4 linked regions of the Astyanax mexicanus genome follow. The protein of the gene in region 2 interacts with the protein of the main gene of each other region in a pairwise test. Links are inferred from orthologs where the notes say so. Each region holds a gene or a part of one and is shown on either strand. Other genes may lie near its edges. The genes, in order: lmo3, protein BANP, map2k1 and tox4b.

Evidence for each region.
Region 1: the proteins of protein BANP (region 2) and lmo3 interact in binary tests that used the Homo sapiens proteins (3 or more experiments, as listed by UniProt). The link is inferred for Astyanax mexicanus from reciprocal best matches to the Homo sapiens genes BANP and LMO3.
Region 3: the proteins of protein BANP (region 2) and map2k1 interact in binary tests that used the Homo sapiens proteins (3 or more experiments, as listed by UniProt). The two-hybrid records come from large-scale screens. The link is inferred for Astyanax mexicanus from reciprocal best matches to the Homo sapiens genes BANP and MAP2K1.
Region 4: the proteins of protein BANP (region 2) and tox4b interact in binary tests that used the Homo sapiens proteins (3 or more experiments, as listed by UniProt). The two-hybrid records come from large-scale screens. The link is inferred for Astyanax mexicanus from reciprocal best matches to the Homo sapiens genes BANP and TOX4.

What each region holds. Positions count from the first base shown.
Region 1 is NC_064409.1:10,575,776-10,583,138, forward strand, and holds the start of lmo3 (LIM domain only protein 3), read left to right. Parts: upstream 1-4,361; 5' UTR 4,362-4,852; coding exon 4,853-4,955; intron 4,956-7,363.
Region 2 is NC_064409.1:62,589,540-62,597,228, forward strand, and holds the start of protein BANP, read right to left. Parts: upstream 3,142-7,689; 5' UTR 2,934-3,141; intron 650-2,933; 5' UTR 644-649; coding exon 568-643; intron 158-567; coding exon 72-157; intron 1-71. Other genes in the region: pdcd2l (programmed cell death protein 2-like), read right to left, coding at 3,656-3,786, 4,029-4,186, 4,325-4,438, 5,613-6,050, 6,134-6,297. UniProt on the Homo sapiens protein: Controls V(D)J recombination during T-cell development by repressing T-cell receptor (TCR) beta enhancer function. Binds to scaffold/matrix attachment region beta (S/MARbeta), an ATC-rich DNA sequence located upstream of the TCR beta enhancer.
Region 3 is NC_064416.1:23,842,322-23,850,419, reverse strand, and holds the start of map2k1 (dual specificity mitogen-activated protein kinase kinase 1), read right to left. Parts: upstream 3,052-8,098; 5' UTR 2,750-3,051; coding exon 2,667-2,749; intron 1-2,666. UniProt on the Homo sapiens protein: Dual specificity protein kinase which acts as an essential component of the MAP kinase signal transduction pathway.
Region 4 is NC_064432.1:21,417,129-21,424,183, reverse strand, and holds the start of tox4b (TOX high mobility group box family member 4b), read left to right. Parts: upstream 1-3,898; 5' UTR 3,899-4,502; coding exon 4,503-4,607; intron 4,608-5,777; coding exon 5,778-5,882; intron 5,883-6,917; coding exon 6,918-7,055. UniProt on the Homo sapiens protein: Transcription factor that modulates cell fate reprogramming from the somatic state to the pluripotent and neuronal fate. In liver, controls the expression of hormone-regulated gluconeogenic genes such as G6PC1 and PCK1.

The sequences.
Region 1 (7,363 bases), about 52 Mb from region 2:
GCGCTGCTAACTAGGGACCTGCTGGAAGGTGCTTAAATAGGGCCGGCTCAGGTCCGCCTCGACTCTGCTGCCAGAGAGAGGAGAGGAGAGGACAGGGGAAGAGAGGAGAGGAGAGGAAAAGAAGAGAGGACAGAACAGGAGAGGACAAAAGGGAAGAAAACAGGAAGTCGGTCGTTTTTGCGTGGAGGAGAAAAGACAGAAAGGAGAAAGGAAATAAGAAAAATAAGTAAAGGAAACGGACTGCTTTCTGTTTGTGAAGAAGAAGAAGGAAGAGGAGGAGAAAGAAGAGGGGATCGAGTCCAGGCTTAGACCTGAAGAGTACCGGCTTGGCTGCTGCTTGTTTCGCTCGGTACAGTATCCTGAAGATTTTCCCCTCTTTATACACTCAGTCTAGAGTTGCCTGTGCAAAAAAAGGGAAAAAGGGGGTGGAGCATTGTGTCCTGTTATGATTTATATGTAAGACTTGTGCAAGTGTTTGGACAAAGTTTGTGTGTTTGCTAACTTTGCCACCATGGAAGTCTGATGAGTAGCCTAAAATCTAAAATTGTAATGGTGGTGGTGGGGGCTGGATGTTGTGGATGAGTTTTGTGTGACAGAAGGTGCAGTAACGTGGTCACAGGGCATTGCTTGCATTTTTGATTGGAAGCTTAGTGCACAAGAGCCATAGCCTGGTTGGTTGTACTGAGATGTTTCTATCACCTTGCGCTGTAGAGAGTGAGAGATTGTGTGTGCACATGCGTGTGTGTGAATGTGTGCCTGCACTTGCAAGTTGCATGCGGGTTTGCATGTTATAACTTTATGCACCTTTAGATTTCCTCTCTCTATCTCTCTCTTTCCTATATATACACACATATACCCATACACACGTGTGTGTACCGTACTGCTGCCCAGCTCATCTCTCCACATAACTCACATATCTGTGCTGAATAATTGACGTGATAATGCGCGAGATGAAGTGGTCGTTGGGGGGAGGGGTGCGAAAAAGAGAGAAGAGCCAGTCTCGCGCTCTCCATCTCTCTCTCTCTCTCTCTCTCACTCTCTCTCTCTCCCTTTGCGTCTCTCACCCCCGCAAATTGCATGATTACGCAGATAGCCCGCTTTGAAATAATTCAATCCATGACAAAACCTAATTACAGCCAGGTAATACCCTGTCAGCTTTAATGCATCTCATCACTCATAATGGTGGCGAGGAGCGTTTTATGACCCATCTCATTAGTGCTGCGCTTTAGTCACAGTGATTGGCAAGAGGCCGCCTGCCAGGACTACCGGTGGACTCGCTAACTCTGACCCCATCTCTTCACCACCCTCGTCACCTCACCCGCAGACTGATGGGAAATAAAAGAAAACAAAAGCAAACTTTCTGAGATCCAAGCTATTACCTGTTAGGCTACACTATAGGAGTGTTTTTACAGTTTGTGTGGAGTAATTATGGACTAGGTGTGAACAAAAGCGTTGTTTAATAGCGAAGTATCACAATATTGTAATGTTTTGGATTACTGTATTAATTCTCAAAACCACAGTGTCTGATTAAAGCATCGCTGGCAGACAGTGGTTCATATTATGATGTCCCCTCAGATTTCACTCTTCTGACTAATTGAAACATAAGCTTTTCATTTTCTCAGATTTTATACTATTGGCAGTTTTATCTAAATTTTGATAATAAAAAAATCTCAGTATATCGTCTTGCTTACAGTATTGCGATATATCACAAAATATTGAATCACAACACCATTCCGCCATACCTATCACCAGGTTCTTACCAATACAAAGCCCTAATATGGACATCAATAGGCACTCACTGAGGGGGGTAAACACCGAGTTTGAGCTTCAGAGACACGTACACAAGCATGCACATGTTTACCAGTGGAAATCAATTATATCTGCAGTAGCATGAAGTGTAAGCACACTGAGAACACTCAAAAAAAAGAGATGTGCCAAAAATTACAGAATGTCAGCACTGTTTCACAGTGAGTAAGTTTACAAGCAAACAATAAACCCAAAAATGTGTCATTGTGTCATTGCTGCATAAAATAGGGTAACTACAGGGTAACAAAAATAGGGTAACTACAGGGTAACAAGAGAGCAAATTGTAGGCTAATTAAATTAGAATTGAGAAGCAAGGTAAATAAACATTACAAATAATCTATGTGTTGCAAATTAGACACTGTCTTAGGAATGTGTTAAAATTAAAATTCCTGAAACAATATACGTAAAATGGACAAATTACCTCTTAGAGTGCAAGAAAACTAATTGTTCTATTCTGTCCAGGCAGTTAGTAAGTTAGTAGTCGGACCTTGGCCTGCAAAGTTGATACAATTTTTGGAATGTCGTTAAAAAAGAAGGCCTTTGACATTTAACATGACTCAGGTACCATTCTGACTATATGTAGCCTATATAAAACTTCATATTATAGTCTCTATCAGAGTGCACTCTCAGAAAAAATACTCTTCAGTACTATATTTACACAATTGTTTTACCCTAGTTTTAGGGGACATTGTTGGGCTTAAAGGATCATGCTGTACCTTTAAGGGTACATTTGCACTTTGATGAAAAAAAAGCCTGTTAAAGCACCTTTTATTTAGAAAGTGTGTTGTGGTCCTGGATGGCACGTGCACACTTTTTACAGAGCTTGAATTAGTTGCAGACTGAAAGAGAGAGTAAAAAGCGAGAAAGGTGAAGAGATAGATAGCAAGATAGTAAACAAAAACCTGTTTAGGCAGAGTAGACTGACTAGCAGAGCCGTTTATATACATGCGCGCGTCTCGACATCCACCGCACGCGCGCCAGAGAGCGAAGAGAGAGCGCGCGCGAGAGTGGTGTAGAGACAGACGGACGCACGCTCGCTCGCTAGCACGCGCGCGCGCTCCCTCACTCACGCAAGCTCACACGCACGCACGCACACACGCACGCGACTCCGACTATCAGTTATAAGTGAACGACCTTTTCCTCGCCGTGTAAAACGTCTCTCTTTTTGCTGGTTTACAGTAGTCACTCAGTAACGCAGTGCGTAAAAGAAGCTCGCGACTCGCGGCTGCGCGTGCACCGGTGCGCTGCTCCGTGTCTAGTCCAGCTTGTGTGCGCGTGTGTGTGTCTATGAGGGCTCGCGCGAGAAGAACACCTGTAGCTGCGTGTCCGAGTCGCGGGTTGTACCTCCATCCATGTGGACCTCGCTGTTTTACACCTGAAGATTCGCAGTCGTCCGGCCGCCGCGGCGCCATGTGGGTCTCGTGAACTTTATCAGTGTTGTTTTTCTGCTCGGAAAGATCAGAGAGTTGGGGGGAGTGAGATCGAGCCCGGAGTGAACCTTCTGCTCAACTTGGTCAAGAAGGTGAGTGGGGGGCAGCGGGGGGTGGTCGGCGGAGGACAAGACTTTGGTTCACTTTAGGCTTTAGTTTTAGCTAAGAAAAGTCACATTTTTAACACCTTCTTGTGAATGTGCTTGTAGAGCTAATAGGCTTCATTAGGTTTTATTAGTAGTATCTTATATAGGAACTATTAGGAACAAAAACAAAAGGCAGAACCTTTCAGACTTAGGTTTAAGTTACATTTATACATACATACATACATACATTTTGCAACGTTTTCAGCATGTTTTAACGCATGTCAGTATGTCTGTTTTTAAAAAAGAGTTATAGCATTATTTTCTAGAAGTTTCTTGTGTTTTTATATAGATTATATGTGCTTAAACAGAGTTGTTAATGTGTTTACTTTTCCACTTTTCTTTAACATTTTCTTTTTTTATGTCTTTATTAAGGGACTTTTTAAATGACTATTTCTTTTATTGGACAACAAAACAGCAGCTAGATGCCAGATGCATAAAACACCGGCATTTAGAAAATGTTTGTATCTGTAATATTTTATCTGTTACAAACATCAGCACTATTTTGGAGTAGATAAATAGCTGAAAGCTGAAATTTTCTTTTATAAAGGCATATATAAAATAATGTAATGTTTTCGTAATTACGTGTGTATGGACGTAGATCGGTTTTAGTATGTGATGGTTTTGTTGTTACTTTTTATTATTATCAGTATCCCACGTTATTTATTTCAACCAAACGCTTTGTAGCCTATACTGTTGTCGTTCAAAAAATAAAAACGAGTAAAAAGTCATCAAGACAATCATTATCATCATGATTATCATCATCATCTCCTCACTATAAACCAGCATAAACACACGAAACACACGAGCTGCTGCTTCTGGTGGTGGTGCTGCAGCGGCTGCTGCTCCGCTCGGTCCCCCTGTTTGTTTTGTGTGTGAGTGAAGCGGCGGCAGGATTATAGTGTGAGGGCGCCGCGGAGGGGTTTGCCTGAGCGTGTACGCCTTTGTGGTCCGCTGTCATTTTGCTCGCCGTCACTCCGCGCGCGGCTGCTGCGCTTCTGCTGCTGCTGGATCTAATTTCATAGTCGAGCTCTGCTCGTGACGAGACGCGCGGTGTTAGTTAGTTAGGGCTAGCTATATCAGCGTGTGGCGCGAGTCTATCTCTCCCTCTTTCTCTCCATCTATTTCTCTCGTTCTGTCTCTCCTTCTCTCTTCTCCGTGGCTCTACCCTCAGCAGCAGCGGCGGAGGTCCGGCTGGGCTCCGTTGATTGGTGTTTTCCTCGTTTCTCCCTCTTTCTTCTCTGAGGGAAGTGAGGCGACGCTGGATTTGTTAGCTAAAGCTACTTCTAACAAAAGCGAACCGCCCTCAGAGAGAGAGAGAGGGAGAGAGAGAGAGTGTGTGTGAGTAAGAGAGAGAGTGTGCGTGAGTGAGAGAGAGAGAGAGAGAGAGAAAGAGAGAGAGAGAGAGCGCACGCGGCTGCTCACTTTACGAAGACCGGGGGGGAAGCCTGGGCTCGCACCTCCTCTTGTTGCATGGTGTGTGTGGTGGCGGTGTTTTTGGACGAGCTGAAGCGGGTCGACCAATGCAGAAAAGGGAGAAAAGTTTCGGTAAGAGCTTCACTCTCTCCTTTTTCAGGTAGATTTATTGTTCTCTTACCGGTTGTGACCGTTATATCCGCGAGACAGCCGTTTCTGTGCTGTAACGTTATAGTTTCGTTGGCGTCTCCGTACGTTTCCTTTCTCCATTGATTTTCCTCTTTTTATTTATCGTGAGATTTTGTCTTGTGTGTCGTGTGTTTTCTTTTCACCAAAAACGTGCTGTAATTATACGTCTCACACTCTTCCGAATCGCATTTTCCTCCTGTGTTTGTGTGTGTTTACGTTTTTTAGTGTGTCTTAACGCTTAACGTTTCTCGTTTTCGTTTCTCGTTTTCGCTCGCGAGCTGATTTGAAACGCGTTTAACGCTCCCTGAGTTTAACGGTCGGGCTCCGTTCGCGTCGCGAGCCGCTTCGAAAATTGCCTCCTCTGTAGCAGATCTTATTGGCCTTTTCCAAGCACCGCGCTGCCATGGCAACCGTAATTAAAGTGATAAGCGGGTGAAATGTCAGCATCTCCGGCTCGCGCAGCTGTGACGCGCTTGAACGGAGGAGGGACGGGGATGAGGAGGAAAGGGGGGCAAATTGGTACTTTTTACCCAAGTCTCGCTCGAACCCTTAAAACCGTTCAAAAAACGCACGCGGTGCTTCAAGCAGAGCATGAGAGGAAAAATTGGGGATGAGCACAGACAGTGAGGGACCTCATCTGTGTGAACTGTTAGTGCTAAAATATAGACATAAAGGCATAAAGATAATAATAATAATAGATAGATACATGTAAGGACAGTCACAAGATAGGACAGTGTGTTTTATATTGGTTTTTGGTGTTGTGTTTTCTGGGAAATCCCAGAAAAGAAATGATAATAATTTGAGAAATCAGTCCACACACAAACTCCCAGACTGGCCATCTGGAGGCAGAGCACTAAAAGAATAGGGTCTGCATCAGAAACCAATACTACAGTACAGTACAAAGATTATACCGCAGGACTGCACAATATATCGTTTTTGCATTGACATCGCGAGAAATGTAATGTCATGTAAGGCAAACATCTATTTCTTACTTTTTGCCCAAACAACAGACATGCTCAAACAAACCCATAAGAACCTTCACAACACATGCTGGTGCTTCAGGGATCTCGTCTAGGTGAAGAGTTTGTGCTTAAATACAGGCATAAAAAAAATAATAATAGTTAGATATATGTACGAACAGTTGCAGGTTAGGACAGTGCTCCTTAGACTGGTTTGTGTTGTGATGTCTGGGAAAACTAGTTTGAGAAAAAACTCCCAGACTGGCCATCTGTAATGCAGAGCACTAAAAGAACAGGTTCTGCATCTAAAACCAATACTAAAGTAAAGTACACATATTATACTGTTCCATGTACTGTTCAAGGCATTGTTTTTGCATTGGCATCGCAATTGGCAGATTCATAATAAAATAGTCACATCTCAGGACATGTTGCGTTGAATGTCATGTAAGGCAAACATATATTCGTTGCTTTTTGCCCAAGACATGCTTAAACAAACCCCTAAAAACATTCACAACACATGCTGGTGTTTCAGTAGGACATAATTGGAAAGACTGGGGAAGAGCACAGACAGTAAGAGATCTCGTCTGGGTGAACTGTTCGTGCTGAAATACAGGCATAAAAAAATAAATAATAGTTATATATATGTAAAGACAGTTGTAGGTTAGGACAGTGCTCTTTAGACTGATTTGTGGTGTGTTTGTCTGGGAAAACCGAGAAAAAATAATAAATAATACTTAAAGAAATTAATCCACACAAAGACACACAGACTGGCTTTCTGAAGGCAGCGCACCAAAATAATAGAGTCTGCATCCAAAATCAATACAATATTAAAGTACACATATTATATTGTTCAACTTAGGACTGCACAATTTATCGGTTTTACATTGGCATCGATATGTGTAAATGCGTAATAGAATAGTGACATCACGGGATGTCATGGAATGTCATGTAAGGCAAACTATCTAATTGTTACTTTTTTACGTCTAATTGTTAAGGCTTGCTCAAAACCTAAAAACCTTCAAAACACATGCTGGTGCTTTAGTAGGACACAAGAGAAAAGGCTGAAGCTCAGTGTGTATGTAGTGTGCTAGTGACATTTAGTGTCTAAATATACACACACACACACACATATATGTTTATATTGCACTAATTCACGTATTGGTGGTGTATTTTTCTAGCAAATATGTATTACTTTTACTGCACTGACATACTATTCATTATAGTAGTGGCCATGTTGTACTAATGATTTTACTTTAAATGGTGATGTGCCATCTTAATCTGCTACGTATTGTACTACAAATGGTGATGTACTGTTTTGATGTACCATTCTGAATTGTACTATTCATAATGTACCAATTAACATGTTTAAATTATGTTCTATTTTGATGTATTACTCAGTATTGGTGTTATGTATTGTACT
Region 2 (7,689 bases):
CATTCATCAATTAATCACAGAACACAGTAATGGTGTAGTAATAAGCAGTGAAACTCAAGTGCTGTTCTCACCTTTAGAGTTGCATCTTGATTACTACTTTCCATCCTCGCTCGTTTTCGCTCAGGTTTGTCAGCCTCTTCATGGTTTTCCAACACATCTAATCCAATACACATACAGCAATGTTAAACAACACATAGTAAACAGCTGCCACAGTGTTGAAAAACTATAAAACACAGAATACTAAAAAATACTAAAGTTTAGGGCATTTGCTATTATGTCAAAAAGTAAGTATATATACAGTACATGCACTAGGAGAAGGGAAAATTCATAAGAGCAGTGAGGGAGGTTTTTAGTGGCTAAATATAGAGGCACCAGGCCTTATAAACAGGCCTCATAAAACTTTTTTAAAGAAAAGGGCAAAGGAGAATATGGCTGCAGGGTCAAAGGAAAATAAACAGCCTAAAAACAAAGTTTAAAGACACATGTATTAAGGACTTGTAAACCGATGTAATCCTACAGACTATCTTGAACATTTAAATACCAGAGGCAGTTAAACAATTCTCTTACCTGCATCATGTTCCTCATGATTTAGATCTGCCACAGCAATCTGGACTATCTCCACCAGATCCTGCTCGGACATCATTCACACCTAAAAAAGCAAAGAAATTTGGTTTGTGTGACTATTTACAGTTAAGGAACAACTGATGAACTGTCTGGTGTTTGCTTTTATAAACTCATTTGAAGCACATACATGTTTTACATGCAGCAACACACCATTGGTCAGATTGTTAATACACAATCTGAATTGAAATGTTACATTTAGGCTACTTAAAGATGTCAAACATATTTATTTCAAATCAGTAAAACATGCCACAATATTTCCACTGCACAATACAAAAGTAAGAAATAAAACCCCTAAAATACATATATTTCACATTTATTTTATCTGGCTTCTAACAAAATTAGAATTGTATTTAAATGTTTGGTTTTCATTTGTTTTTCTTATTACCTCTGAACAAAATATGACGTTTGTTATGTTCCAGGAAAAAATATAGTGTAATCTTTGCATATTGTGACACCTTCTCTTGACAACAGCACTTCCTCACATATATGGGGCAAAGTTTCTAATATATTAGCCTTCTTTAATTTGGTGGTTTTCCTTTTTTAAAGACGCTTACTACTCAAGAGGTTAGTTACCCATCCCTGTATTTCTGTGTAGTTTAGCTCACTGTGGAGAGCTAGTTTTGCTTTCTGAGGTTTGTTAATTGGGATAAACCTTAAAATATTTTTTTCAGTGGTATTATCTATTTTTACTCTTTAAGTTTTATATTTTATTTATTTAACTTTAGCTATCTTTTCTTACCAATGTTGCCAGCTTTAAATGAAACTTTATAATTCAACAAATCCATTTTTTACCCTCTTTGTTAAGTGCCCTGAACCACAGTGCTTTGGTGGGGAAAGGACAATGTAACTGGCTGCAAATGACTGTTAAATGCAACAGTCCTTGTGAGAATTCTCTGACCTTCGCATAGGTTCAAATAAAATTGTAAAAGTGATGCAAGCTTTTTTGTAGTTATAAATCTTTTGAAATGCAAAGCAAATATTTTGCGAATGTGAATCTTTTTTTAATCTTTTTGCATCTTCATAAACAGCAGTCCAAATCTGTTTTTAAAAAATATCGTAACAATTTTGAAAGGGGATTCTACACCCTTTTATTAATAAAACTGATTTGTTGAATAAGGTTTACTAGGAGAGGGGGGCAGGGGGTGCTCCAGGGCTGAGATGCACCAATTTTGCTTAAGTTCCTATCTAAGTTTCTGTTTGAAGTGCTTTTACAATGTCTTTAGTTATTTTGTGAATGTGAATAACGTTAGATTTATATGGATTTTTTTTGTTTCTACATAAGCATGCTTTATGAAATTCGTATTAGGTCACATGATTCACACCAGAATCAGATAACGTGTATGTAGAAAAAAAACTTTTATTTGAGTAGAAAATCATTAAAACTAAATAATAAAATGTGAATTAATAGCAATACAGTTAATTAGCAAGATTAGCTAGCTGTGGACTGATGAATGGGCAGAGGAGGATAGACTATGGGAAAGATGGGTGTGAAGAAGGTGTGGATTACAATCAGCTGATACAAACACTAGTTTATTAATTACCTCCATTTTATTAAATCGTTACTTATTGTTTACTTATGTTAAATGCAAATGCTGTTATGGCAGAATTAAGCATTTCGTCTATATAAGTTACAGTTAACCAAGAAGGTCACACACCAACGTTAGCTAGGCAAATGATAGCTTAACATTTGTGGTGGTTTAACAAATAAAAATCCAAAAAATAAAAATCCTGTCCATGACTTCGCTCCAGCTGCTTAGACAACTCTAAAAAAATAATAAAATCCCGGGCTGGATTTTTACTTCCTGGACCTGGATTTCTCCCTATGCTAAACTAAATGCTAAGCTAACTAACTAGCTAGCCAGTTAGCCACGGTCATTCAGTACAAATTGTTCTGTTGTAAGTATTTAATTTGGTCAGCGACAGCAGCGTATTTTAACCCATAAAAGCCGTGTTTATGCTCTAAAATTGGTTAGTTAGTTAAGTAGGTTAGTCCCCGCCGGTAGCTACAGTTACTAGGTCTGGGGCTACACTCCGCTCTCTGCCCGCGAAGATAAACACAGCTAACGTTAGGTAGCTTTAGCCAGCTCCTGCTAACTTGCTCCAATGTTCAACAATATTGAAAGACTCAGAGAGAGGAAACGGCTCCAGGCCCGGAGCCGCAGTCCTACTAGCCCTCTCTGCTGAAACATGAATGAGGCGCGAAAGAAAACAATAAAAAATGAAAATGAAAAACGCGTGAATTAAGCGCCCGGCGCCGCCTTGCCCGCAGCACTGTGCGCGCGGCGGGGCTTCAGAGCGGGTTATATTACCGTGAGAAGGATGAATTCTCGTGTTGTTTGTAGGGATTCCGATAATGGCGTCCTTCCTCGCGAGAGATGAAGTCTGCTCATGAACTCGGGTCTCGTCTCTGAGCTCAACTGCGCTCCCGTGAAGAACCAGGAGGAGCCGGGCACTGCAGCACCGCATGCAGGCCTCATAACTACCCCCCTCCATACAGGGCCAATTTCTCACACAGGCCAGGGACAAAGGTGTCGAAATTATTCACATTCAATACTTCGATATATGCGTGGAATGTATGGCTGATATAAAACAAAACGTTTTTAACTCACTTCCGCAGCTAGAAATAGAGAAAATTATCTCCTCATCAAGCAGCACAACCTGCACACTCGAAACAGTTCCCACAAAATTACTAAAACCCGTACTACCAGACATAATTAAACCGCTGTTAATGATAATAAATTCATTGCTTACCCTGGAGCATGTACCCAAAACAAGAAAATCGAGGAATCTGTAAAAAATGTAAAAGCCTCTTGACTTAACATCTGCCCACAGTCCAATCACTGCTTATCCCATGGATTTTGTCAAAACAATTCAGAAATATGTCCTCATCAAAAGAGTAAGTCAAATAGCCTGAATAAAGCAGTGTTGGTTGACTTCCGCATGATACTGCATGCATACTAAATCCTACATTAAGTTATAATAAAAAAAAAAGAAATATGATATTTTGGTATGCTCTTTATTATACATCATGTCATTTGAACAGCTTTTGATCAGGGTCAGCTTGTACTAAAAGGAATTCCTCAACAGGTGTGTTCGATCCAGAAGTCCAGCAGCTCTCTCTGCAGGTGTAGACCATCACTGTCCCAAACTCCAAAACGAGCTCTGAAGAAGTACAAAGGAGGAAAACACCAGAATCAATACAGAAATTAATAATTTATGATTTGTATTATCGCAGTGTCTAAAGGCCACAAAAAATTATATAAACTATACACATATCATCTACTTCTGTTTTAAAGAAAACAAGTAAATGTAGCAAAGCTCTCATAATTTTTGACACAGGATACAACCAGCATGGTCTCTGTATTTAACATATACTGAAAAAACAAGAGCTAAGTCAGACAAACCTGAACTTAAATCTGTACTACGAAGCAAACTGACGAGTGCAGGCATGAGCTGAAATTCAAAAACTCTAGGACTGCCACACTGTGCACAGGGTGGCTCCATCTGATGAATATTTGAAGGACGTTCACATATAAACAAAGGTGAGCCTCTCCAACTGTATCTGCAACATATTATAACAGAGCATATATTAATAAAACATCAAAGTATTTACATTAAAATCAGCTCATACAGATATAAATCTTGTAGTTAGTTATTGTTTACTAGGGACTTGCTACTGTTTCCTTTGCAATCCACTCACCGAAGAACTTGTTCTGGACAGAGAGATATTCTTTTCATGAAATTGGAGAAGAAGGCATCTCCGTGTTTGGGTTCTGCCTTCTCATACTTCTCCCCTCTTCCTTCTCCTTCACAACTGAATAAAAATTCAAAATACGAGGAAAATTTATTTCAAGAGAAAAAAATATATATTTGAATATTTATTATTTGAAAAAATGTAAAGAATTGAAAGTATAACACAAAAGCAGAATCTGACAATAAAACTGAAATACTTTGTGCTTAATTATTTATTATTTTAAAGCAACCAATTTAACATGCACTATTGTCCTGTCCTGTGTTTTTTTTTAAGGATAATGTATTTACACACAAAGTATCATGTCATAGATTTCCTTCACATTAACCTAGTAAAATGTAAAAATGCATTCAGGTAAAGATCCATCATTGATCCTCAGTTAAGAATGCAAGTGTTAACGCAACTAAGACACATTTAAAAGAGGTTCAAATTCGATTGCGCAAACCCTTCTGGAGGTGATAAATAAATCCTTTTCTCCAAGACACAACCAAAACAAAAACAAAACTCCCCATGCAGTACGTTATTGTTGAGTTAATCAGCCGAAACTGGTGCCTTCTCCAAGTTCGGATTAATGCAAAAATGCACAAAAAAGCGAAAAACTATTAGTGGTACATTTTAGGCTAGCAACCGTCTTTAGCATAGCACAGAAAGAGGCTGAAGCAATGTTACTATGTAATGAGTGGTTTTTCATATTCTATCCCACACAGCAATCAAATTTCAGTCTGACTATCCATTGCTAGTAGTTTATACATAAAGTATGATATATATTCATTTGTACCATTCACTTTGTTTACATGACAGTTGTAATTCATCTGTTAAATTAAATACAATTAAATAGCTACACTTTACTGTGCCGCAGCCTGCTTGACTTGTGATTTAGCTCCATCTGTTTGAAATTATATCTACACTTGAATTGGCAAAAGTCAGCCGCGGCGGTAACTTTAAAACATATGTTTGTTTGTTTTGTTTTTTTAACAACAGAACATTTCTAATTAGCTCCTCATTTTGGTTTCATTGGCAAGGATCACGCTACAGGTGAATTGTGAACAGGCGGGGCAAAAACAACCAGTCAGCACTGCTGTGTTTATTTATAAATTAGCATGCACTTCTGAAATCACTAGAATTCATTATAGTTTAAAACTGTCAACTTTTAAAATGTAGTGGAAATAAGATCAAATTAGTTGTTTTTCAGGGGTGCCTTGTTAGCTTTCGCAAGCCATTCAAAAAATGTCCTCACCTTTCAAGCTCTCCAACAGCAACTCCCTCCCTCTCCTGATATTCCTTCAAAAGTTTGTTAGCATGTTCCACATTGTTCTGGCCCACTAAGTCTGTCTCCTCCGCCACACTGATGTAAAATGACTGAAAAGTGGGTACTGCAGTAGGAGCTACGGCACATTCCCTGTCCCCTGATCCATTTAAACAGAGGCCCTCAAGTCCAATACTGTCGACTGGTCCAGCTGTTTGTGTGTCCGGCTGTCTCTCTGTCACTGTCTGAGCTGTGTCTAGATTAGTGTGTGGACAGATCTCAGCTTCACTGTCCTCAGCTTCCATCCCCCAGTCATCGGCCTCATCACACCAGTCTGTTGCGAACACCGGGGCTTGTTTCACCTGCTGATTATCTTTATTGATGTCCTTCATTTCAGACTCCAAGCACTGCGAACGCAGAACTTTCCAGCTAGACACAAGAAGAAGCCACCAGAATAAATATTGGGCAACAGCGTAAACTGTGTCTTAATTAATATGAAAATGATAATTTACCTTTCTGGCTTGCCATAACACTGTGGATTAGTGCAAGCAAACACATTAATGGTGCGGTGATATGGAGACGCAGCAAGAGGGCAGTAGATCTGCACGACATGAGTGAGGATCCCATCACACAGAGCACACCGGTAATATGTAGCAGAAATACCAGGAATCAGGTCCTGTAATAAACATACATCACATGCAAGATAATCAATGTAAACCTATATTGTCAGTGCTACTTTTAATACCCTGATTTTGTACTGAAACTCTCTATATATATATAATATATTGGGGAGAATCTCTGTCATGGAAAATAAAATGCCAAACTGCCATCTTTTTTTAAATGCATTCTGTGGTGAAGACTGCCGAGAAGATCATCAGGACTCCACTGCCCTCCTTGCAGAGCATCTACCACCACAGAGTCCACAGGAGAGCTGCATCCATCCTCAAAGACTCCACCCATCCCCAGCATGGACTGTTCACACTTCTGCCCTCAGGCCGGAGGTACAGAAGTGTAAAATGCAAGACCACCAGGTTAAAGAACAGTTTCTTCCCCACGGCCATCAGACTCTTGAACACACCTAAGGAATGACCCTGCCTTCAGACTCTAAACACACCTCAGGTATAACCCTGCGATCAGACTCTTGAACACAACTCAGGAATAACCCTTCACTTTACTTCAACATGTTTACATTGCAGCCGTCACTTTACTGTTAATCTTTTTTTAATATATATAGTTAATGTCCATAACTGCATTATTTCGCACTTGCACTTTTTTTTATACATTTCTTTGCTTAAGTAACTTTTATTTTTTTATGTCTTTGACAATTAGTTTAATATTTATAACCTTATTGTATTTTTTTGCACTTTTTCTATCTTCTATTTGGCATTCTTGGCGAAGAGCAAAGAAAGAATTTCATTGTACACTGAAACCCGTTTCTGTACTGTACATATGACAATAAACTCTTTGAATCTTGAATCTCTTGAATCTTGAATACTATTTACTTCAAGCTGTACCCATTGGGGTGCTTGTCTAGTCTCTTTAAATAAGTACTGCCAACAGAATAGGACTTTTTGGAGACATGTATTGTTATAAAAGTGTAAAAGTCCTCCAGTATTGTTTAATACTTTTAGGATGAGTTGAAAAGTTGGGGATGAAGTCAGATAGGGTGGTAATCATCCAACATCCTGCATACTGACCATTCTGACACATAATGTAATCAAATTCTCACTGCAGTGTTCCAAAATAAGTGTAATCCTAATCATAGTGAAATGACTTGTCTGAATAGCAGTCAGTTTCTTAAACAGAATTAGCATAAACTAATTTTAATATCTTTGATTTCAAAAGTAACAAGGATTAAGCAATTGTACCAATTTGTTGTTTATATGGTGTATGTCCTGCTATTTACCTGAACCTGTAAACTAATGCTACTGCATGCTATCCAGTTAGGTTAGTATAGCTGCATGTGTGCTTGTTTGACTATTAAAACATATTAACTGTACACAAAGGTTAAACATCACTAGCAAAGATATTTAAATGTTATAAAATATCTGAAAAATACTTAAATACG
Region 3 (8,098 bases), on a different chromosome or scaffold from region 2:
ACCATTCAGAGTCCCTACTGTTTCATATAAAGATGCTAATACTTCACTTAAAGCCAGCAGAAAGTGTGTTGTCTCTTTGGGGATTTTGAACTTAGACAGTGTTCCTCAGGTACAGAGAAGAGCAAACCCTTTGGCCCAATCCCTTTTCTAATTGGACCCCTTCCACTGAGTTACAAGGGGAAGAGCTCTTTAAGAACCTGATATATCATATAAATAAATAAAGCTTTTTTACTATTAGACTTATAGCTCTGTAGGCAACCCAAGCAGTCTGTTGTTATAGTAGAAGAGCAGTTCAGCACCGTCAGTGCTGCTGGAAGTTTTTATCACTGTGTAAAAACAGTCCTTCTTAACGGCCCACAAGACACTCTTGGTTGGATATTTGTGGAATATTGACTATTTTCAGCCCAGCAGCACAACTGTGCCTTATCCACTCATACCAGCACCATGTCAGTGTCACTACAGTGCTAAGAATGACCCACCACCCAAATGACCACTGCTTTGTGGTGGTCCTGTGGGACTGGGTCCTGACCACTGAAGAAGAGTGTGGAAAAGGATAAAGTATATAATCTACCTCTCTGAATGGCTCATATGATGACGTCTTTATAACTGAATTGTGCAAAACTTTCACTAAATATATTTTGAGTTGCCAAAAGAACTGGCATAACCTGATTGTGTAACCTGTAACCACTAGTCTACAATCTGTGAACATACTGTACTGCAGTAGGAGAAAATAAAGTCAGCTGAAACATTATGTCCTCCTACACAATCATTTCCAACACTTTGAAAAGAGGCTTGAATCAATGCAGTGCCATGTGTAAAATAGAACGCCTCTGTACCTCTTCCCGCACCTCTGAATCAGTAATGGTCTCTCAAGGCCAAAGCATAAGAGTGAAAGAGAAGTGTCTGGGCCCCGGAGCGCCGGTGAAACAAGAGGCAATGACACGGACCACTGAGTCCAGGCCGCCAGCGCTGTGATTGGCTCTTGGCTCAGAGAGAGAGAGAGAGGAACAGGACCACAGGCCTGCCACATGAAGCTGCAGACAGACACGGCAGCCCTCAGCATCTCCAGACAGCCTCTAAACAAAGAGGCCAGCACCGGGCACTGGGAGCAGGGCTTTGTTTGTTAATGGTGATAGCTGCTGCTGCTGTAAATGATCCACCGTGATTGCTTAACAACGTGAAATGAGACGATTGCACTCAAGCTTCAAGAAGTGGAGCATGCTGTCAAAACCGATCAGCCTCTCCATTTGTTCCCGGAGTTCTTAAGACTTGGGTTCCTAAGGTTCTGGACATCCTCTGCCCTCATATTACCTAATGATAGATTGAGCCGTGCTTTCCTATCACTACACACAGTCACGCTCACATGGAAACAACTAGAAACAAAATCTGTTTACCTAACTTATGGCTGTGAGGGGGCGAGAAAGACTGGACAGGTTATTTGATGGAGGAATCATTACTGTGTGTTGGCCACTCTGGCCCACTGTGATAAGGGCTCTCTGTGTGGAGAGCAAACCTCCCCCTTCTGTTTTTAGGGATGTCATCTGATTCTTAGTAAAATTATGCAACAACAACAACTTATTCCCAATCAATTTGCTCTTAAGTCTATTTGGACATGAATGAGCACTGTGTGCATTGGTTCAACACTGTATATATTATCTGTATATATAACCTTATTTACAGTTTTATTCTTCGTCTTACTATTATTTCACTCCTAGGGTTTCACCATATATCATATCCAACAGAACGGAAGCACTTGTTTATTTGTTGTTTGTTTCTCATCCCTTTCTCCTATTCACTCCTAGTTTTATTTGCCAGACAGTCACCAAGTTGTGTGTATTCTTTCTTTTTATCCTTATACATTATGTACTTTCACAATATAGAGTATATTGAGGATATCCTTAGTGGTTGTAAAACGCATTTGAGAAAATTTAAAATCATGTTTTTTTTAAGATTCTGCAATTACTGATTTTTAGTCATTGTCTGCAATTATGAGTATCACAATAACTACTGTGTATTTTGAAAGTGTCTGTAAATACTGATGCAATTATGTGTGGCTGTCATTGTAAACACATGAACAAAGAAAGAAATAGTTCCTATTTGTGTGCCAACAAGCATTTCTGATACTCTAACTCTGAGCTAACCTGAACTTTCATTAATTCACTTTAAAATACCCATTGCTTATGTTGTCTCGTTTGTTTACTGCAGTTTGATGCACCATTTTTAAATTGTCATTTTTAAAGTGCCAGGTACACAGTCTAAAACAGTACTGCATTGGCAGGCCTTTTAGTAAAAGAATATAACAATGAAAGTGTTTTCATAACACTGTCCTAGTGTCCTTAAAGCCTAGCTGTCTAGCTTGCAAGGCTTTTAAATATACACTGTATTTACACTTTCTCAGAGGAAATAAGCATTATTATAAAACCTTTTATAACTTTTTTAAAAAGAGAAAAACAATATGAGCCTATGATCAAAACAGAAGAGTATGAAACAGTATTGTTCCTTTTCCACTACACAGAATACCACTGTATTGTATAACACAGCCTGATGATCAGCCAGTGTCATCCCCAGTAATTATAGTATTAAACCATGTATCTTACTGAAGGAGCATCATTTAGTTGGTTTTCCTGTTAGGGTTAAGCTTCTGAACCAGACCAGACCATACTCACTCCGAGGCACCGGTTCCGTTAACGGCGTTCCCATCAGGAATTGGGTTGAGCTGGATCGGTTCTGGCTTCCTTCGTTTCTGCATTACGACTCTTGATGTCTTGCAGTTTAGCAATCAGAAATAAATCAAGGGAAGAAGGCTGATCCGCAGAAATACCCGCGTGCTGCTGTAGAGAGAGCGGTCTGATGCATAGGGTATATATACAGCTAATCACACCCAGTGGCTGTCTGAGAAAAATGCACACAAACACGACAACACGAGATAAATAAAGTAGACTATTAAAACAGGCACGCGCTCTCCTCGGCGACTAGCACAGCACTGCTCAGCCCCCTGTACAGACAGAAACACAATATACACCAATACCGCACTGATATGGGTGGATATATGACTGTGGAGATGGGCTGGTTGCGTCACGAAAATATTTACATCTGTCTTCCGGAGAGCGTGGCTTAATGCTGGGCAATGTCTCCACCTGCTGGAAGAAAAAACTAGCACAAATATCTCCTTTTTAACTTTTGGGTTTTTTTTAACCCTTTTAGACCTAGTGATAAAAAAATAAAAGAATGCTATGCACTCAAAAACAGGATTCAATTAAAAATAACAATACACTAAATAATAAACTAATATATAATATGTATCAAACATAATATTTGTATTTTATATCGTTTATATATATATATATATATATATATATCGTTTATATATATATATATATATATATATATATATATATATATATATATATATATTCAAATGTGTGTAGATATTGTGGATGTGTGTATATTTCTAAACTGTAAAAAATTGCAGCAACTGTGTTTTCTCTGCCACGTTAGCTGGGATGCTACCCTGCTTTACTTCAGTTGGCAGAATTTTAGTATTCCAATGCAGTCTGCTGTTTGATTGGCTAATAAATGTATATCCTGAAGATTAATAGGATAATAGAATACACAAGAAAAAAGAAAGCACACCATGTCCATTGCAATTGATGCAGTGTCTGAAAGGATTAATATTCTTTACAGTTTCAAGTTAATACAAAGAAACCACAATAGAATACAGCATGAAAATGTGCATTAGAGAGAAAAGAAAGAAAGAAAGAAAGAAAGAAAAAAGAAAGAAAGAAAGAATCCTAAAGATAAAGAACTAAAAAAACTTTAAAAAGCTCCTCAGAAAATATTACAGTTTTTAGACATTTCTTATTCTTAGTAGTTCTAAAGGATTTCAATAGTAATGTAAAGTCCAGTAAAAAATATACAATTACAGGAGACTTTATTGTGATTTGCATCACATGTATAATTTATGTATAAATAAAAAATCATTTTGGGCAATTTTCCCCAAAAACATCCTGCACATTTTAATCATTTTAGACCTAAATGATGTTCCAGTGATGAAAAAATAAGAAGAATGTTGTATAAAGAAGCAATCTTCATACACCTTATGGCTGATTAACTATGATGTACAGTTTCAGTCAAAAATTTAAACACAATTCTTCTCATTTAATGTGTTTTCTTATTTTTTTTTTTTACATTTTAAATCTCATATTAAAGAAATTAAAGCTATACAGTAACTTAAAACACAAAAACATGGAAAACAAACCAGAGAATGTTCTGTACTTTAGATTCTGCTGTTTTTGTCTCACACTGTGGTCCAGCTCAACTAAATCTCCCATCTCAGTTGGTTTAGATCAGAGGATTGTGGAGGCCAAACACTTTTTTCTTAACTGTGTAACTTTATTTGTGTCCCTTAATTATTGTCCTGCATTTAATTCTAATCTACAATGTAGAAAAAAACAAAAACAACAAAAAAAAAACAGAAATAAAGCAAAACTTTGAGAGAGAAGGCGTATCTAAACTTTTGACTGGTACTATAAACAGAAAGTTATGTAAATTAGATTTCTTTGTGAACCATTCCTTTAATGTTTGGGACAAATTACACAAATAATTATATTTAACTATCTATACCAGGTCACACCTATCAGCTTACAGAGTTTGTATCTATCATTTCAGAAGTATTTTAAAGAAGGCATTTACTGTATAATAAATATCTCTTCATTGATGCTAATGAGAATTCCATCTCTACATACTTAAGTATGTGTTAATAGGGTGTTTAATGGCCTGCTGTTCTACTGGTGCTTCTCTCACATGTTTCTGGTGGCATAGTGTGTAAGGCTGGGGACTCTGAACCAGTAGGTTGTGGGTTCGATTCCTGCTTAAAGCAGCAAAAGGCAGCTGCTTGTGTGACAATCCTGTGATGGCATCAGTGGTGAGTTAAATGTACTGATGTCTATGGCAGTCACATACACAAACATGACTCCTACCGACGGGACCCACTAAGTAGTTGGATCACCTGTGCGATGGTTTCATACAACTTCTGCGGGTGTCATGTGGAACGGCATTTCTTATAAATGCCAGCTCAAAGTCATTAATCACTGAAAAACTCTGTTCACATATGATGGTAGGCCTAAAAGAGATGCTAGCTGTCTGAAATGATTCACATAAAGCAACACTATATCACTGCAGTGTCAGTACTGGTGCAAGTTTAATATATCAGTTAAAAGTTGCTGGACAGTCCTACAGAGGAGAAAGGTTTACTCAGCAGATTGTGAGAACCCCCCACCGCATGGTGCCACTGGGAGCAGAGTTGGATAATTGCTGGATTTGCATAGACAGACACAAGCACTATCCCACTGAGATGCATCTGATCTTATACAAATGAGATGCTGTCAGATTAATGATGCATCATGTGAGCAAACACATGTTGTTTATAGACTAATATGAGCCTGTGTTTTATGAAAGGTAGCTCTTGTTCTTGTCTGAGTGAGCGATGTTTTAAAGGAAGTTCAGGATTGGATCAGTGTTTCTGCATTGGCGGTGTTGTGCAGGCAGGTTTGTGCAGCAGATGTGCATAATGAAGCTTTTTTTATGGATGTGCAAGGCCCTGGCACGCACGTTGGCAGTATGGCACAGCATTTGCTTGCATTTATTCATCACATGTTAAGTGGAAGAATAGATAATAGGCCTTTTTACTCATTGTTTCCTCAAAGCAGCCCAACAATGCTTTATCCTCATTTATCTGTATTTGGACACTGACCAATCAAATGCCATGGTTATGTTGTTCAATTGAAAGGTCAATTAAGGTATCAGGATCTGCATTTGCAGATAGACTAATAGGCTTAATAACGTTAAAAGCACTGACTGGTGAAGTGAATACAATTATATGATTATCTGCTTACAGTGGCACCTTACAAAAGATGAACCATATGTCATGGGACAGGAACAAATGCTGTGTTCCATGTGTTTTGTCATGTTCAGTAGGAACTAAAGAATGCTGCACGGATGTATGGAATATACTGTATGTATTCAGCCTCCTGCATTGAATGTGGATGTGATGGATGTTAGCCTTAGTTGTTCACTTGGAAAATTATAGCCAGACACTGCGGGTCACAATCATTACCACCACTGCGCTGTCCACTGTGGGTGAGAATGCCTCTTATGACATATTCCTGGTACACACATCGTTATCAGAGTTCCCTCAGATGTGAATATATAATTCACATCACCTTGCCATGAGCATGCTGGCGGGGTTTAACTTTACTTCTCAGATAACACCTCACAACTTATACAGGTGTAGGTGTTCCCAAGCTGCTAAATGAGGTAACACATTGTGATCAATTTACATACTGGTATGCCATGATATTTGGCATATCAGTTTATATTAGACCTTTTCTAAGAGTGGACTATCTGGTAATAATGTTATGGCATAACGACACACAAGAAAACATATTTTTTATCATGTAAAAAAAAAAATCATGTCTAAATCAGGTTCACACACTGCCTCAAATTAATGATGTTTAATGTTCCTTATGGCTCTTGGTTTTATATGTATACTAAATGATTTTATCCAAAAAATACTTTTTATGATTAAAATTGCTGTCACTGGCTTACTAAGAACTACTGTCTCCCCCTGAGTATAGACCTGCAGGCCACTAGAGAGTGTTTCATAGCCCACTGGTTGTCCTCTGCCCACAGGTTGAGAAACCCTGTATTAGATAGCAAGTGAACCATCAGTTCTTGAAATTGAAGTATCTCAGCAACCTTGACAAGATGGAAATTATGATGGCCAGATGGATGGGCAAGAGTATTTCCACAACAGTACAGACAAGTGCTTATAGGAAGGTCATTCAATGAACTGGTAACAGAGTCTTGATTGCATAAGACTGATGTGATCTATGGAGGTCTAACCTTGCAGCTGGATTTAAACTGGATTTAAATGATCTCCTGCTAATATCTGGGTACCAGATACCACAGGACATCCTCATAGGCCTTGTGGAGTCCTTTACTGGTCATAGGTGTTCTGGTGCCAGAAGCATGACCTACACAGTATTAGACAGGTGGTGTTAAAGTTATGCTTGATCAGTGTATGTAAATAAATAATAACCCCCTTATTTGAGAGGTGGTTTACAGATTACTGGGTGATTTCTACTGTAGCATAGAGGAAAAAAATCAATACAGAAGCATCACTAGGCCTACTTTTTATTCTGATTTTCCCTTTAAGTGTCAATCATTGCATGCAAAAAAGATTTTCATAGTCAATAAGTGCAGAAACAATGTGGCTTAAGAAGGATTATGCTTCTCCTATACACACTTTGACACACAGGTGCTAGTGCAGATACTAATTGATTCTGATGCATAAATATTTATAAAATAGAGATGCAGATACATTTTTGAAAATGTGTTTGTTGATAATGATTGATATCATTTAGACATGATCATACATCCCTAGGTGGTTGAGATTCAATTATATATTTATTGTACTGTTGAATGCAAAGAACCTTTATGTAACGCTACATAGCTACATTTTATTGGTTTTAGCACAGCATTTGATATTGCATCAGTGATCTCTGTGGGTTGAATTTTGACTTGATATCTCTTCTTACAAGGCTAGTGTATCAGCTTTGTGTAGTTCGAAAACAGGGAATATAAAGCCCCTACCTGTATTGCCCATGGTGGGTAAATGACTGTAATACATTCTGAGGTACGTTTACAGAGGTCATTCTTTCAATACTATAGCTAATATTGTTTTATATACATATACTATTTTAGTGATAGTCTGGGTAGTGATATTTACTTGAAAATCAGATATCTGTGTCCACTAGTTCTCAAAGTGCACCCAAATGCACCGCTCCTTTTCACTGATACATGTGTGTTTGCACATCTGTGTCAGCAATGCATCAAAAAAAAAAGCCAGGAGTTACCTCTGTTGCACAGGATGAGTACTTTTGGCAGTGTGGGAGGTGTGCTAACTACTGCTGGAAAATTAAATCCGCATCCCAATAAAGTTGTCAGCAGAGGGAAGCATAAAGTGCTGTAAGATTTTTCGGGAAAACACTGCACTGACTTTGGACTTGATATAACACAGTGCACCAACACCAGCAGA
Region 4 (7,055 bases), on a different chromosome or scaffold from region 2:
GCCATGCTCTCACCCCTTACCACTCGTAATGTTATGTTTGTCAGTACAGGCATCTGCTAGATGATTTATCAGAGCTGGGTATCCAGCATCTTCCTCTGAGTGCAGAAAAGAGGTGGAGTCTGACTCCACATGTATTGGAGGACGCATACGTTAATTTTCATGCTCCCAGTGATTTTTTTAAAAAGCTACTGAAACTTTTAAAAAATATCCAAAATACAGAAGACTCTGATGCTCTACAGTAAAAAAAAGACCTCAGGACTGGATCTGTTGCCTTTTGCTTTCACACAGAAGCGTGGTGTAGGTATGTAGGCTAATCCAGCATTACACCAGTAAAGGTGATCTGGTAAATGAGACTTTTTTTGAGCGGCCTGTTTTAATAACTAATGTCCTTATCCACTTGTTCTCACCACATTTTCCCTTTTAATAATCCACGATGGCCCTACTTTATTACTTTTATTAGTGAAGTTTATTGTATATGCTGGTACAGTGAGCTATTATATAAACTACGACATTACAGTGAAGTTTACTGTAATCAGACACATGGAGTTAGAATCAAACCATTAGTAATGTGAATTGAGATGTGATTCATTCAAATCTGGATCAGTGTCAACAAAATTCTGAATTCTGAACTAAATATTAAGGTGTGTAGAAGAGTGGAAGGAATTTTAGATTCTTCAAAATAGCACCTCTTGCTCACCTCAGCTTTGCACATCTTTATAATGTACACACCTAGAATTCAGGCTTTCAGTTAACAGCAGTGCTGAACTCGTCAAGAGTTATTTACTTGAATTTCTTGTCTCTTAATGTGTTTGAGAGCATCAGTTGTAAAGTTGTGAAGAGGTAGAGTTGGTATACAGTAAATAGCCCTATTTAAATAATGTTCTAATCCATATTCATTCAGATATATCAACTGTTTTAATGCTTTGAAAAGTCTCATAGTAGCTGAACATTAGCTGTTTTTATTTAGAATAGTAAGTACACAATCCTATAAAACCATCCGGTAGTCCTGCAGACTGCTTCTAAAAACATTAGTGAAAGAATGCTTCCCAAGCAGCTCCATCCAAACCTCACATCACCAAACACAGCAATGCAGGCCTTTACTTTTGGTGATATAGTGTAGAAGACTAGATTACTGAACTTCTCAGTAGGCAGCATTTATCATGTTTCAGACATATGCTCTACAGACCCCTGTCACTGGGAATGATCAGCAGATCTGTTCTCCATGCTCCTGGCCTGCAGGACTGAACCACTGTGTCATAAATGGAGGGGTGTGGTGGTGGTGATTATTATAACACTAGAGACTAATCCTGTCTGTTTTATTCTAATTATAAAAAAAGTTCTAAACACACTCTAGTGTGTGTAACACACTGTGAAGAAAGGCCAGCCACTGTTTTTACTTTTAGAAACACAAAAGCATAAACAGCACTGGTTTCATTTTCCCCCTCTTACTTCAAAATTATCCTGAATCCCCAAATCCAGATCCATTACTCAGGCCTCGATTGAGTCCTCTGTAATGCAGGGGCACTGTAACAGTAGGAGGTTCGAGTTGACTCACTGAGTCGATTCTAATGAATGAATCATTGCAGAGTTAAATGGCCGTGTTGAGTGATGCATTGATTTGTAATAGAAATAGTAACTAAACATTAGATTACAGGTACTTTTTAGTGTTAATCTAAAATAAATTATATATAATCAGGGTTCATACACTTTTTAACCAATAAATTTCCATTATTTTTTCATGACTTTTTCATGTCTTCATGGCAAATTTTCATGACCATGCGACTTTCTATTTTTATAATAAAATGTGCCTCACATCTTGAGCGCTCCATTGTGCTAAATTACTAATTTAACTCTGTGCTGTTGTGTTTGTTAGCTCAAAATAGATTTTCAAAATAGATTGTAGACCAAAGTTCCATGACTTTTTCAAAACTTTCTGGGTATTTTTATTTTTCCAAAACTTATCCAGGTTTGGAAATTGCTATTTTCAAATAGCATGAAAGGTTTTTCATGACCGTACGATCCCTGACAATTTAATATTTATGTGCCCAGAAATTTAAGTTATTGTAATTTGTATTTATTAAATTGGTGTGAATTTATTATTGTTCCCCAAAAATGTTACTCTAAACTTCCTATTTGGTATTAATGTAAGCCAACATAGCATTCACATAGATGTAGATATAGCATAAATATTGAGTCTAAAATTACTTTAAATTATTTAATTTTCATAATAACCCCTTATAATACATTTATATGAATTGTCAGTAACACTTTACAATAAGGGTACATTAATTCACAGTACTTACAACAGAAATGTCTCAACTATTTTTTTTAATTGACACTAGTAAAGACATCATTAACCAATACGTATCAGTTTATTATTTTGAATGTTTTACAACATTTTCCAGCAATAAAATTAAGTAATGTTTAGTAATATCTTAATTACTTTCAATTAGTAATTAGTGAAAACATTACCTCACCATTTAGCCAAGTTTATTGCTGTCTTAAGTGGTATTTGTGACTTATTGTAATGTGTTACCAAATTTTCTGTGATTAAAAAACATGGTTGCTTTTATTTTTTATGTTTCTGCTTTTGTTTCCTTTTGCAATGTTCAGTGTTGTGGAATGATTATATTTTTTATTGAAAAGGAAAAAATGTTTAACATTTTTTATACTGCCTTTAGGGTTTCTGGAAAATGTGTAATTTTTCCATACATATATTTTTTTTATATTTCAATCAGTTGATACACATATTCTGTATTCATTATTGTATACATTTTATTTTTTTTGCATGATTCCTTCCTCTATTTATATTTAAAGTGGTCAATTAGGTTAGGTGTGAACACCACTGGGTATTACTAGCTACATCTTTTTGTTGTAGAATTACGCTGTGCAGTGACAATAAAGGAATAGGTCGTAACAGCAAGGTGGCTTAGTGGTTACAAGGTATGCGTTCCAGTGCTGGGGCCCTGCCTTCAAGTCCACATCTGGGTGGAGTTTCTATGTTTAACTCGTCTCCGTGTGGGTTTACTCCCACAGTCCAAAAATATGGAGTGTATGTGTATGTATATGGGTGAAAGTATGTATGTGTGTATGGCCAGATATGGATTGGCACTCTATGCTGGGTCATCAGGTGGACGGTGGTTTCTGGTTGAGAGTATGCTATGCATGATTGGCTGCTGCCTTTCACTGGTCTGTGTTGATGAGTGTGTAGAATATAATTGTAAGCAACCTTGGGTTCCTAGAAAGACAAACAAGACCTATATAAGTGTAATTGTAAGTAGCTTACAGTGAATTTGATTGTGGGAAGTATATACATATATCATTCCAACACCATATTAGTTTATATGATCCGTCGCACCTGCACACGTCACGCCCATGCTCTAGCAAGAACATAGCAGATGTATGTAGACTAGTGTGAAGATGATTCGTGCAGAGACTCAAGAGAGCTCCAGACAAACTCCAGTCCAATTAAGCTTCTTTAATATATTTACATTCTACTAAAATACATTCATTTTCAGTGAACATATATGCAGCTGAAACAGGGTCATTGCATATTAAATTTAATAACATTAACATTTTAATAAAACATTATAGTCCTTATGGCTTTTAGAAAACTGTGTTTTGGGAAGGGAGTAGTGCACTATAGGACTTTTTGCAGCTTTCCCCTTACATTACTTTTACGTTTATAATACAAGTAAATTTAAAAACTTACTTTAAAAATGAAAAGCTTGAGTTGATACTTCAGCTTCTACAGAAGTATTTTATTAAACCATGGTATCTATACTTCTACCTACAGAGTAATAAATGGAGACACTTTTTACACCTTTGTTAGTGAATCGATTCGACTGATTCATTCAAGTAGATTGAAAGAATCGGAGAATCGGCTCAAATAAATGAATCATTCAGAAGTCAGTCATCGTCAGTACAGAGCAGTGAAAGGAACAGACACGTTCCTGATGTGACGGACAGCCAGTGCTCTTTATTTATTTGATATATAACATTTGTGTATTATGAGGTGTAGTCCGCTGGGTGTTAAGTGTAGAAATAAACGCGGGATTTGGTAGAAAGCGGGAGTGTTGGCCGTGTGTAGCCCCGGGAATCGGTCATTCATAGCGGGGAGCTAAGCGACACACCGCCGAGGCTCTGCACGTTAGCAGCGGGCTAGTGGAGTTAGCCAGCCGGCCGGCCGGGTCTAGGCTCCTCTTCCGCGGATATATAGATATAAAGGCCCGGATTGTGTTTAAAATCTTACAGAGTTCCGCTACATTTCCTCTTACAGCGCTTCCCAACACACGGGTAGGCAGCTCTCCAGCCCTGCTGTAGCCTGGCAGCGCCGGGCTGGCATGCTAGCCCGGGCTGCGGGCTGAGGAAGCCCAGGGTGGGAGAGCTATTTTTGGGGCAGGAGTATCCGAATACAGCGGGGGTGAATAATCGAGCTCCTGCTAGAATAATCGACTCGACTCTGTTCATTAAACTCAGTGATATTCGGGTTCTCACTCAACATGGATCTGAATTTTTACTCGGACTTGACAGACGGAGCCGGTCAGCCCGGAGACCCAGAGTTTCTGGACCCGCAGGCCTTTAACGGATTCGATTCGGTTCAGAAGGTGAACAATTCGGTTTCTAAGCTCTCAAATGACCAGCAATGATCGAATACTTGTACAAATGTTTTTATTTCCATAACCTTCATTTTGAGAGCTCCTGTGTTTGTTTATTTGTCTGGATCAACAACCACGACCACACTATTTTATTTTGGTACTATTTATTAATTGTGTTGAAGTTCTAGTCGACTACACTGTCTAATATTTTTAGAGCTACATTGTTTGTGCAGTAAAGCTGCAAATAATTAGTTTTGTAAACTAATTCAACGATTATTGAGCTGTATTAATTGTGTGATGGGTTGTAGGGATACAAGTAAGTGGAGTAATCTGTCGATTATTCTTGTAGTAGGGCTTTGGCTAATGTTTCATTAATTCTCTTTTAGAGCTATATTGATTGTGTAGTTGCGCTGCAACTCTTGATTATGTTGTTAGTCGATTCATTTGTTATTAATTATTATTTTTAGGGCTATGTTGATTGTGTAGTAAGGCTGACACTAATTATTTTGTTATTCAAATAATATGTAGATTATTCTTTTTAGAGCTATCTTGACTGTGATGTATGGCTGCAACTAATGTTTTTTTAGTCAACTAATTTGTTAATTATTATTTTTTTTTACTATTAAATTTAAGTAAAACCTGAGAATCGGCCCAAATTGGTTCTGGAATCAGTCATTCTGTTTTAAGAGCTATAATGTTTGTGTAGTGTATTGATTGTGTGGTGGGTATTTGGTTCTGGAATCAGTCATTCTTTCTGTTTTTGGAGCTATAATGTTTGTTTAGTGTATTGATTTTGTGGTGGGTAATAGGGCTACAAGTACTGATCATTTTGTTAGTCAAAATATTCTTTTAGAATGGCTGCAAGTAATGATTATATTGTTAGTCGATAATCTGTCAATTATTTTTTAGAGCTATATTGATTGTGTATTAGGGCTGCAATTAATGATTATTTTGTTAGTCGATTAATCTGTCGATTTTATTTTGTTTATTGGTTTGTTTTTAAAGCAATATTGAATGTTTAGTAGGGCTGCAACTGACATTTATCTTGTAAGTCTATTTTTCTCAAGACAAACTAGTAATCATTTTGGTAGCTCACCAAATATATGATGAATGTAGGCGGTATTACACTTTTTACTAAATTATTTCTTTAATGTTTCTAACTTTGTGTTGTGTGCTCAGTTCCCAGGAGGAAATGACAACTACTTGGCCATCAGTGGAGAGGGCCATCCTTTCCTATCCTCCTCCGAGGTTGCTCTCCCATCATCCTACTCCCTTCAGATCCAGGTGCTTCTATGTCTTCTTGTTTGTTTTTGTTCTTTTTTAGTTTTATGTGAAGAAAGGCAGAGGTTTAAAGGGGAATCTCGCTGATTTTTGTAGTACCAATATATGAGTTGTTGAAATGTGAGCAGGCTTATTCAGAGCAGGAAGTTATTATAAAATTGTAGATCATTACAGGATACAGTCAGGGTGATGGAACAAAGTGTTTGCCCTGACTTCTATGCAAATATAACCAATTTATGTGCTATCCAAAGCCATCAGTAATCCTACACGTGTCTTGAGTTTTGGGGATGGGTATGTTGTTGATGGGAAAACCAGAACAAACCCACTTTTTTTGTAAGCATTCTTACAGTTAATTAAACAAAACTTAGATGAAGAACAGTGACCACTGTGTGCACGATGGGGCTTGTTTTGCATTAGATATATTAAAGGTGCTTTATACAATTTCAGTTCAATACACTAATACACTGACTAACTTTTTGTTCTGTTTGCTTGATAAAGCTCTGGCCCTTGTGCTCTGGCCCTTGTGCTCTGGCCCTTGTGCTCTGGCCCTTGTGCTCTGGCCCTTGTGCTCTGGCCCTTGTGCTCTGGCCCTTGTGCTCTGGCCCTTGTGCTCTGGCCCAGCAGCAGTAGTAATAGCAATAGTTTGCTAATGCTAACTTGGATAAAGCTAGTTACATGCCATGATATTGCACTCTAATGTTATACCTTGGTATTTAGTTGTACAACATTTATGAAGTGTGTTATGGTTGTGGAAAAAAAAATTCACTATCACAGTGTGATTTGGATTTAAGCATAATTCAAAATTATGAGTAATTAAAATGCCAGACTAGCTTGTTGGACAAGGCAACTGTAGATCCCTACATTGATAACTTAGCTTATACATACTTACAGTTCTCTCGTCAATAAATGGATATTTGCTGAACAAAATTGTCTTGCTTGTTTTTTTACTCTGTTTTATATGCTGTGTTTGTTTGGTCGGCTAACACAGTGTTGCCACCTTGAGTTTAAGCTCATCCTGAATCATCTTTTTTTCTGCAGACCTTCCACACCCCCAGCCTGGGCGATGAGGAGTTTGAAATCCCGCCCATTTCGCTGGACCCTGACCCCGCCCTCAGCGTGTCCGATGTCGTGTCGCACTTTGGAGAGCTGGGTGATGGCGGCCCGTCCTCTAGCGTT